2 linked regions of the Callithrix jacchus genome follow. The protein of the gene in region 2 interacts with the protein of the main gene of each other region in a pairwise test. Links are inferred from orthologs where the notes say so. Each region holds a gene or a part of one and is shown on either strand. Other genes may lie near its edges.

What was found. The genes of interacting proteins can lie anywhere in the genome.
Region 1: the proteins of TAF9 (region 2) and KPNA6 interact in binary tests that used the Homo sapiens proteins (3 or more experiments, as listed by UniProt). The link is inferred for Callithrix jacchus from reciprocal best matches to the Homo sapiens genes TAF9 and KPNA6.

What each region holds. Positions count from the first base shown.
Region 1 is NC_133508.1:68,746,948-68,752,700, reverse strand, and holds the start of KPNA6 (importin subunit alpha-7), read right to left. Parts: upstream 4,059-5,753; 5' UTR 4,056-4,058; coding exon 3,962-4,055; intron 31-3,961; exon of another isoform or gene 1-30. UniProt on the Homo sapiens protein: Functions in nuclear protein import as an adapter protein for nuclear receptor KPNB1. Binds specifically and directly to substrates containing either a simple or bipartite NLS motif.
Region 2 is NC_133503.1:140,123,514-140,129,272, reverse strand, and holds the start of TAF9 (transcription initiation factor TFIID subunit 9), read right to left. Parts: upstream 4,049-5,759; 5' UTR 3,979-4,048; exon of another isoform or gene 3,812-3,978; coding exon of another isoform or gene 3,562-3,811; intron 1,897-3,561; exon of another isoform or gene 1,822-1,896; intron 1,304-1,821; coding exon of another isoform or gene 1,211-1,303; intron 465-1,210; 5' UTR 448-464; coding exon 1-447. Other genes in the region: AK6 (adenylate kinase isoenzyme 6), read right to left, coding at 1,211-1,303, 3,562-3,811; cell cycle checkpoint protein RAD17, read left to right, coding at 5,167-5,176, 5,463-5,566. UniProt on the Homo sapiens protein: The TFIID basal transcription factor complex plays a major role in the initiation of RNA polymerase II (Pol II)-dependent transcription.

The sequences.
Region 1 (5,753 bases), on a different chromosome or scaffold from region 2:
GGTAGGCCACTAAAAGCGTCTCAATAAATTCTGTAAGACAGAAGTCATATAAAATATTTTCTCTGACTACAGGAAATGAAGCTAGAAATCAGTAACAGAAGAAAAACTGGAAAATTAACAAATATATGGAAACTAAGGAAGAGATTCTTTTAAAAAGTTGGAAGACTCATATGTCCTGATTTCATAACTTACTACAAAGGTACAGGAATTAAAACAGTATGGTACTGGCATAAGGATAAGCATATGGACCAACAGAATAGAACTGAGGTGAGAGTCCAGAAATAAACTCTTATATCTATGGCCAGGTAACTGATTTTCAACAAGGACATTATGTCCATTCAGTGGAGAAAGAACCACCCCTTCCACAAACAGTGCTGAAAACTAGATTTCTAGATGCAAAAGAATAAAGTTGGATCCTTATCTCACACCATATTAAAAAACGAACTCAAAATGAATCAGTGACCTAAGTATATTATCTAAAACCACAAAACGCTTAGAAGACACTATGGAGGATCCAGTCTGACCGCTCATCAGGGAAAAAAAAAATTAAAAAGAAACTACAGGGCCGGGTACGGTGGCTCACGCCTATAATCCCAGGACTTTGGGAGGCCGAGGCGGGTGGATCACGAGGTCAAGAGACTTAGACCATCCTGGTCAACATGGTGAAACCCCGTCTCTACCAAAAATGCAAAAATTAGCTGGGTGTGGTGGCATCTGCCTGTAGTCCCAGCTACTTGGGAGGCTGAGGCAGAATTGCTTGAACCCAGGAGGCGGAGGTTGCGGGGAGCCGAGATCACACCGTTGCACTCCAGCCTGGGTAACAAGAGCAAAACTCCATCTCAAAAAAAAAAAAAAAAAAGAAACTATAAGGGTAAATTTTTATGACCTTGAATTTGGCAACGGAATTTTAGACATCATACCAAAAGCACAAACAACAAAAGATGTTACCAAGAAAGTGAAGGCCAGGCATGGTGGCTCACACCTGTAATCCCAGCACTTCGGAAGGCCAAGGCAGGTGGATCACAAAGTCAGGAGTTCGAGACCAGCCTGGCCAAAATGGTGAAACCCCATCTCTACTAAAAACACAAAAAAATTAGCTGGGCACAGTGACACACACCTGTAGTCCCAGCTACTAGGAAGGCTGAGGCAGAAGAATCGCCTGAACCCAGGAGGCAGAGCTTGCAGTGAGCCAAGAGCGCACCACTGCACTCCAGCAAGAAAGTGAAAAGACATGTTCTAGAATGAGAGAAAATATTTCCAAATTACGTATCTGATTACGGTTTAACATCCAGAATAAAGAATTTCTACAATTGAACAAAAAGACAACCCAATTTAAAAATGGGTAAACAATTTGAATAGACATTTCTCTAAAAGCATATATAAATGGCCAATATGCATATGAGAAGATGTTCAACATCATTAGTCCTTAGAGAAATACAAATCAAGGTTGGGCACGGTGGCTTATGCTTGTACTCCCAGCACTTTGGGAGGTCGAGGCTGGTGAATCACTTGAGGTCAGGAGTTTGAGACCAGTCTGGCCAACATGGTGAAACCCCGTCTCTACTAAAATACAAAAGTTAGCTGGGTGTGGCGGTGACCGGCACCTGTAATCCCAGCCACTTGGGAAACTGAGGCAAGAGAATCACTTGAACTCAGGAGGTAGAGTTACAATGACTCAACCTGAGAAAGCTGATTGAAAAACATAAATAAAAAAGTTTTAGGCCAGGCACAGTGGCTCACGCCTATAATCCCAACACTTCAGGAGCCCGAGTCAGACTGATTACCTGAGGTCGGGAATTTGAGACCAGCCTGACCAACATAGAGAAACCCCCCCACTACTAAAAATACAAAATTAGCCGGGTATGGTGGTGCACACCTGTAATCCCAGCTACTCAGGCGGCTGAGGCACTTGAACCTGGGAGGCGGAGGTTGAGGTGAGCTGAGATCACGCCATTGCACCCCAGCCTGGACAACAAGAGCAAAACTCCATCTTTAAAAAAAAAAGTTTTAAAAACCACAATGAGATACTAATCCACACCTACTAGGATGGAATAAAAATAATAAAAGCACACATTGGCTAGAATCTAGAACCTGGTAGATTGCCGGTAAGAATGGAAAATGGTACAGCCACTGTGGAAAACAGAATAGTGGTTTCTAAAAAAATTAAACGTAACTACTATATAATCCAGCAATTGTACTCTTATACTATTCCTCCCTTATTCACAGTTTTGCTTTGCAAAGTGTCAGTTACCCATAGACAATTGTGGTCTGAAAATATTAAATGGAAATTTCCAGATATAAACAATTCATAAGTTTTAAATTTCATATTATTCCAAGTAGCATAATGAAATCTCACACTAACCCGCTCTATTCCAACTGGGACATGAATCATCTCTTTGTACAGTGTATCCACACTATATACACTGCCAGCTCGTAGCAGATATTGCAGGGTTTGTGTTCAAGTAATCCTTATTTTACTTAACAAAGTGTAAGAGTGATGATGCTGGCATACTGTTATAACTGTTCTCTTATTATTGTTTTTAATCTCTTGTTGGGCCTAATTTATAAATTAAACCTTGTCATAGGTATGTATGTATAGGAAATAACATAGTATATAGGGTTTGGTACCATCTGCCATTGCAGCTATCTACAGGGGATCTTGAAATATATTCCCTCTGGATAAGAAAAGGACTACTGTATATGTATACCATGAATATCATTCAGCCATAAAAAGCAATGAAGGTCTAATACATGCTACAATATGATCAAACCTTGAAATTAACATGCTAAGTGAAATAAGCAAAACACAAAAGGACAAATCTTATTTCACTTACTTGATGTCCCTAGAGTCAAACTCAGAGACAGAAAGTAGCTTAGAGGTTACCAGGTGCTGAGAGGAAAGGAAAATAGGGAGGTATTTCTTAGTGGGTAAAGAATTTCTGGGCCGGGCGCGGTGGCTCAAGCCTGTAATCCCAGCACTTTGGGAGGCCGAGGCGGGTGGATCATGAGAGATAGAGACCATCCTGATCAACATGGTGAAACCCCGTCTCTACTAAAATTACAAAAAATTAGCTGGGCATGGTGGCGCGTGCCTGTAATCCCAGCTACTCAGGAGGCTAAGGCAGGAGAATTGCCTGAACCCAGGAGGCAGAGGTTGTGGTGAGCTGAGATCGTGCCATTGCACTCCAGCCTGGGTAACAAGAGCGAAACTCCGTCTCAAAAAAAAAAAAAAAAAAAATTTCTGTTAGAGGCAGTAAAATGTTTGGAAATAGATATTGGTGATGATGGTCACATAACAGTGTAATTGTAATTAATGCCACTGAATTGTACACTCAAATGAAAAATTTTGTTACATACATTTTACCACGAAGTTTTTTTTTTTTTTTGAGACAGAGTCTTGCTCTGTCACCTAGACTAGAGTGCAGTGGTGCGACCTCAGCTCACTGTACCCTCCGCCTCCTGGATTCAAGTGATTTTCTTGAGTGAGTTTCTTGTAATCTGAGTAGCTGGGATTACAGGTGCCCACCACCATGCCCAGCTAACTTTTTTATTTTTAGTAGAGACAGGGTTTTTCCATGTTGGCCAGGTTGGAATAATCTTTTTCTTTTTTTTTTTAAACTGGCATTGTAGCCTGGGCTCAAGCCTATATTGCCAGAATTTTGGGAGGCCAAAGTGGGCAGACTGCTTGAGCCCAGGAGTTCCAGAGCAGCCTGAGCAATATGGTGAAACCCCATCTCCACAAAAAATACAAAAATTATCTTGGCATGGTGGTACACACCTGCAGTCCCAGCTAGTTGGGAGGCTGAGGCAGGAGGATTACTTGAGCCCAGGAGGTTGAGGCTATAAGTGAGCTGTGTCTGTGCCACTGCACTCCCTTTGAGGCCTGATTATCCCTGTGAGACTAACATGGTAGAGGACAGATTTCTAAAGGCAGCACTGTGAACTGCTGTCCCCTATTTACCTGACACGTGGCTTTTCATGACTGAGCCTAGGCTGTCCTGGACGCTAGCCTCTCCTTCAAGCACAGCTGACAGTGAAGCTGGAAGGAGCACCATGCTGAGCTTCTTTAGTCACCATGGTGACAAGAAACTAACACAAATATTTGCTTATGACCTCACTGGGGAAGCAGACAAGGGAGGTTAGATTGGAAGGAGGAACATCTGCAAAAGCACATCTGGAATCTCAGGGAAACAGCAGGCCAGTGGCTTTTTCCATTATGTACTCCCTTACTTGCTGTCGATGAATTTTTTAAGATCTACAATACGAATAAATCTTTTCTAGCATCTGACTGTCCTAGACTGTCTTTGGGTTCTGTCTCTGTCTCTCTCTCTCTCTCTTTTTGAGAGTCTCACTGTGTTGCCCAGGCTGGAGTGCAGTGGCATGATCTCGGCTCACCACAACCTTCGCCTCCTGGGTTCAAGTGATTCTCCGCCTCAGCCTCCCAAGTAGCTGGGATTACAGACGCCTGACAATATGCCCAGCTAATTTTTGTATTTTTAGTAGAGTCAGGATTTCACCATGTTGGTCAGGCTGGTCTCGAACTCCCAACCTCAGGTGATCCACCCACCTCAGCCTCCCAAAATGTTGGGATTACAGGCATGAGCCACTGCATCCAGTTTTCTGTGGGTTTTCTTAGACAAGGAACTCTCTCAAAGTGAATAGGTCTCTGAAGTTACACCTTCCATTTCTAGGGAATAAATGTCTAATGTTGCCATGCACTTTCTAAGCTTTCAAAACCAAAAAAACTAGCAATGATAATACAAAATAGGTATGGGCCCTAAAATGCCTGAATCATCGTCTGCTCCAAATTCATACGATGAAGTCCTAAACCCTGATACCTCAAAATGTGACTGAATTTGGAAATAGAGTCCCTAAAGAGGTAATTAAGGTAAATAAAGTTACTGGGGTAGGCCCTAATCCATAACTGGTATCCTTAAAACAAGAGAGGGAGAACACCATGTGAACATGAAGACAGCTATCTAGAAGCCAATAAATAACAAAGGTCTAAGAAACCAACTCTTCTGTAAACTTTTTTTTTTTTTGAGACAGAGTCTTGCTCTGTCACCAGGCTGGAGTGCAGTGGTGTGACCTTGGCTCACTACAACCTCTGCCTCCTGGGTTCAAGCTAGTCTCCTGCCTCATCCTCCCAAGTAGCTGGGATTATAGGCGCCCGCCACCATGCCCAGCTAATTTTTGCATTTTTAGTAGAGATGGGGTTTCACCATGTTGGTCAGGATAGTCTCGATCTTCTGACATCATGATAGGCTTGCCCTGGCCTCCCAAAGTGCTGGGATTACAGCTATGAGCCACTGTGCCTGGTCCCTTCTGACAACTTGATCTCAGACTTCTAGCCACTACAACTGTGAGAAAATACTTTTCTGTTGTTTAAACCACCCAATCTGTGGTTCTTTGTTATAGTGGCCCTAGCAAACTAATATAGGCTGTAATTATCTAAAGAAGGCATTGACTCCTGCTAGTATCTAATACCAAATTCAAGTTAACTAAAGCCTTGTCTTTAGACCCGGGCAAAAGCAATAATCAAAGTAAACTGCTTTCAAGAGACACAAGGATACGCCTGTACTAAGAAAGATAAAGACTGGCCAGGCAAGGTGGCTCACGCCTGTAATCCCAGCACTTTGGGAGGCCGAGGCGGATGGATCACAAGGTCAAGAGATTGAGACCATCCTGGCCAACATGGTGAAACTTCATCTCTACTAAAAAATACAAAAATCACCTGAGCGTGATGGCGCGCA
Region 2 (5,759 bases):
ACTTAACCGCGGGACTGTTATTCTTCCTGCAGAAGTTGATGCCTTTTTCTGTAAAGATTTCAGCCTATAGTTTGGAGCTGTTAAGCAATACCTATCAGGTGGCAACCTAGGACCTGAATATGGCTTGATTAATGGCAAAGGCGTTTGATTTCTTTGCCTTGCGATATCTAATAAAAAATCTCTTGGGGGAGGAGAGGTAAAAGACTGGTCAGCACGGCACTGGATTGCCAATCGCACATCATCTGCATCAACGGTAGCTTTCTTAGCATGGCTTGAATAAATTTTTGCATCATCTAGAATTGTGGTCACATATCGGAAGGCAAACTCCAACATCTGATTTATAACTCTTGGCTCATATTCTGTAATCCCCATATCCTTCAGGATTTGTGCCATCATCTGTGCATCTTTCGGCATGCTCTTGGGAGAAGCCATCTTGCCAGACTCCATGATATCCGATGATCAGACTTTAGATCATTTGAAAAAAATATGTACATTAGATCAATCTGAAATAGTTACTTTAGTAGCAACTGTCAGGAACTTAAAAATGTTTAAATCTATTAACATAGATTTAACTGTAAAAAATTTTAAAAAAATCAAACTATGTTTTCTCAATTTTAATGAGGCATACTTTAAGTCCCTTTACTTAAATTTATGGAGTTCCTACCATGTACAAATCATCATTGACTATAAAAAGATGAAGACACAAATAAGGGAGCAATAAAAGATTAGGGGAAAACAGGGTAAAATAAATAACATCTATCATCTTACAATATATGCAGTTGCATGCAAATCTCAAACTAATCTAAGATAGCATAGTCATGTCCTATGCCTGAACTCAAAATAATCTCCTTCCAGTGAGACCAATACACTCACTGTGCTCATATACATGTTTAGCAGTACCAAACCTTTGTTTGCTCAACTTAAAAACATTCTCCTTATTCACATTCTACCTATCCTAAATCCAGTCTCTTCATAGGAGCCTTCCCAACAATTCACAAGAATTGCTAGCCATTTTGAAGACAGAAGGGAAAATGGTCAAAATAACCAGGACATAGCATTAGACACTTAATATTTCTGTGGATTACCTAAGAGTATATATTCTTTAATGGCAAGCTGTTTTTTGTACCCTCTGACAATACCTAGCACTAACACTCCGCTATCAGACTTTAAAAAATAATAATAATAAATCTAACATCAAAGTGTCCCTTACCTTCTCGAGCTAAATCACCCACATTAATGTATTTCAGTCCTGATTTTGATGCAAGTTCTTTGCCTAGTGTGGTTTTTCCAACCCCTGGTGTACCTGTAAGATAAGCCACAGAAAAATATTGTTTGTGAAATACTACTCATCACACTGTAGCCCACCTTCTGCCCTTTTTTTTTTTTTTTTTTTTTGAGACAGAGTCTCCCCTGGTCTCTGCCCTTAAGGTTCTCAATGAATGAAATGAAAAATCTTCTAATTAGCAATCATATGTAAGTTTTTTTTTTTGAGATGGAGTTTCCTTCTTGTCACCCAGGCTGGAATGCAGTGGCAAAATCTCAACTCACTGCAACCTCCACCTCCCAGATTCAAGTGATTCTCCTGCCTCAGTCTCCTGAGTGGCTGGAATTACAGGCATCTGCCACCACACCCAGCTAATAATCTTTGAATTTTTAGAGACGAGGTTTCCCCATATTGGCCAGGCTGGTCTCGAACTCCTGACCTCAGGTGATCCGCCCACCTCAGCCTCCCAAAGTGCTGGAATTACAGGCATGAGCCACCTCAATATGTCTATGATCTAATAAAAATTTTCCAAAGCTAACTGAATGTCAAAATATTACCCAGTTATTGATCCTTCAAGGGTGAGGCTCAGCAGATTCTGTCGCAGATTCAAACTGCCTGCTACTACCATGGAACTGTTCAGAATAAAATTAACCACCTCAAATCAATTACAGTCATTTATTTACTTTTTTTTTTTAAAGACAAGATATCTCTTTGTTGCTCAGGTGGAGTGCAGTGGCACTTGGCTCACTGCAGCCTTAACCTCCCGGGCTCAAGCAATCCTCCCATCTCAGCATGTCCAGTTGACGAGGCCATAGTGTGTACCACCATGCCCTGGTTAATTTTTGTAGATGGGGTTTCGCTATGTTGCCTAGGCTGAGCTCAAGCAATCTGCCCACCTCCCTCTCCCAAAGTACTGGGATTACAGGCATGAGCCACCCATCCGGCATATTTGCTTTAATTTAAATAGATTAAGAAACTGTTCATAGCCAGGTGTGGTGGCTCATGCCTGTAATCCCAGCAATTTGGGAGGCCAAGGCAGGGGGATTGCTTAAGCTCAGGAGTTCGAGACCAGCCCCGGCAACATAATGAGACTGTCCCAAAACAAAAACAAAAACTGTTCATGTTAAAATGTAAGCAGTCTTACCCCTTGCACCCTTCCCTAGAGACAACCACTGTGAACCAGTTTCCCATACATGTATATCTTCCCAGAGAAACCCTATTTATGTTGCATATGAATGTACATGTATATACATACTTTGTATATACATACATAAATACAACATATATTCCCTTTTACATAAATGACAATACTACATACTATACATTGCTTCTTACCTTCCCCTTTTGATACCTATTATAATTACACTTCAAGATCAAATTTGTAATTTTCAGCTATTCAGGTTTAACATCCCTGAAATTAAACTTGAGCATAAAGATAACAGGGATAATCCAGTTCCCACACGGAAGAGATTAACAGTTACCTCAAGTCCACTATAATTCACCAAGTCTGAACCCTGGACTCAATTATGTTTTCAATAAAATGCTCACTTTAAAGTTTTGACAATGACACAATATTAATAACCAAGGCACTATGTTTGATCCATGCAAAAAGATGTGATATCTTCCACTTAAGAAATCTTAAATGCTAAACATTATTTGTGGCCTGGTTAATCGGCACCTCTCAGAAACAGACATGTCTTGTGCGCTGCAAATCATCTTATGTTTAGATGAACGCTGTAACTTTACTGCTTTATTTCCACCGACTCTTAATTTTTCGGTACGTTCCAATAAAATCTACATGCATTAGATTTTTCCACGAATGGTCTACAATTTAATAAACACTTTAAGGACTAAAATATTCGATGAAGTCGTTACGCAGCAGCATTTTAGTTCCTTCACCGGTAACACGCACCCTGAGTATGGCTTCAAAGACCCACTCCTACGCGAGAAACGACCCGAAATGCTCACTAGATTCCTCTCCTTTAAGGGGCTGGGGAGAACCTCTGATGTAACTCAACAAAGGCATACAGTAATTTAGTCACACCACAAACATCTAAAGTCATTTCCCGAAATCTGATCTGAGGAGCAAAGGAAAAAATAAAATATGGCCCAGGGAGGCCTAAGGAGTGAGGCCTCCACCATTAATGGCTCTACTGGAGAACAGATGTGACCTTACACTATTTCGCTAAAAATCCCAAAGCCAACCCTGCCAAAGAATCAACAACCCATTTTACACACAAAATACCAGATTCAGAAAGACTAAGCAGACTGCCAAGCAGGAGAGCTGATCTGCCGACCTCTCTCCTCCTCCCCCGGAAGTCTCGGGCCACCGGAATTAACGTTCCGCATCCCCTCCCCCACCTCCTGCCAAGCCCGTGAGGGTCGGCTCCCGGGGCGCTGCAGCCGCCTCGCGGCCCTCGGGAGGCCTCCAAACAGAACACTGAGCGGGGCCCGAGGCCCAGAGCACTCCGCAAACCTCGCCTGCCCCCTCCCAGCCCCTCCCGGCCGCGCGCCCTGACCGGTGAGCAGGATGTTCGGAAGCAACATGGTCCTCGCTGCAACTGCTCCGATCACCTCGCTCAAGCGCCCTTTGCACTACGGGGAGGAGCCGGAAGGGGCGGGCGGCAGTGAGAGCCCACGGGCCCCAAGGACCTCCAGGCCCACCGCGGCGTCCCCGGCCTGCCCCGGCGGCCCAGCTGCGGCCCACTAGTTACCTAGCTTTCCCTAACACGTTTCCATCGCAAAGTTGAAGGGTGGGCATAACTCGGGTCGGTGCTTCGGGTCAGGCAGTGCGCTGGATGCCTAAGTCACACACTCCGGCGGGCCCCGCCCTTCGGTTGCGTCGCGGATGCGCCGACCATTTTGAAAGGTCCCCGGGAGGCCGTACCTCAGAGAGGCCCGGATACGGCCAGGTGGCTACCCTTTCACTCGGGGTAGATCCTGTTCGCCTCCGCTCTTCGCCGAAAAGGGAATGCAGCTCCGGGAACGTAAGGCCGCCGCGGCTGCCGCTATAATATGTATATGTCTTAGAGACGCGAGTCTATCTTTGCCTTCAAGCCTTCTTGGGCTCTCGTCGCTCCTCCTCCTGACCCGCCCGTCCCATCTGGGGATGAGAAGATTGAGGGTGCAGAGCCCAGTCCTGCAGCGGGGATTTGCGAGCTCAACCCGGCACCCTACTGATTACAGGATTACGTTGGACGAATATTTGACCTTAGTATTCCCTGTTCACTGTGTGGGGTGGTGGTGGGTCGGCTAGGAATAGTCTTGAAGGTCTACCTCTGACATCTCATTTCAGGAATCTGGCATCTTCAGGGACAGTTACCTGCTTTTAAAAGGAGGTAATTGTCAATCTTGTTTTCAAAGAGTGAATAGAGTCCTGACGGTGACAACAGTCTGCATCTTTTATTTCGAGCTACAAACTATATTTACTCAAATGTTTTGTTTGTTTTTTTACCAACTGTGTACCATTTGAAACGTCAAAGTCTAACCGTGAACGATTTGGGACGAAAGGCCAGCAATTTGTTTTCTAGTACGTAGGGGTGTTTATAGGCGATGTGTGCTCCAAACTGTAAAATAGTTCAGTATACTTTCCAGTGTATAAATTTGTAGGCATTAAAATTCTCTTCTGGCTAACTTAAAATTGTTGAATTCACTAGTTTGCATAAAGGTTTAAGAATTTGAAAACACAATTGAAAAACAGTGTTACTAAGAAATTTTCTAATAACATGATCAAATGAAAACAGTTTTACAGTAAGATTTAAATTCTTTGTCCACAGCAAGTGAATTCATTGTATTTTATTTTTTGGGAAATGTTGGAAATGAAGAACTGCAACTGTAATTTGAAATAAGGAAAACTTTAATTTTCAGTATATAAACTACTCAAATAGAATTGCCTGATTTTAATGACAAAAGGTAAGTAGAACAGTTTGTGAATTTTTTTTTTCTGTTTTTCTCAAATACGTCATTGAGTTCATGTGAAAAACTCCGTTTGTAACACCACAAGTAGTTTATTTATCCAGTTATAGTCATTAAAAGTAAAATTATTTTAGAATTTTGATTTCCTGTATCACTTAAATTGACTGTTTTCACTAATTATTGAGCCTTTATTGTGTTGTTGATTGTATCAGTATACATTTATAACTATAATTCTGTATTTACAGTTCTTTTTCATTTGAGGGCTTCTTTTTTTTTCCCCTAGGTGAATTAGAGTTTAATGTATTACTGGTCCTATACTACGGATGGGAACTGTTACAGTTTATAATGTCAAAAACTTTTCTTAGACCAAAGGTATCTTCCACAAAGGTATGATACACTAGAATGGCCGTGAAATAATTGCCTTAAAATAACTATAAATTTTTATATACATTCTTAATAACTTATTACTGCTATCAAAGTAATAGAGCCCAGTATCTATTGTAATTAGTGGTTTATGCAAATCTGGTAATAAGTTGTGAAACAAGTGTTCTCTAAAAGCACAACCTTAATTTTGAAAGTG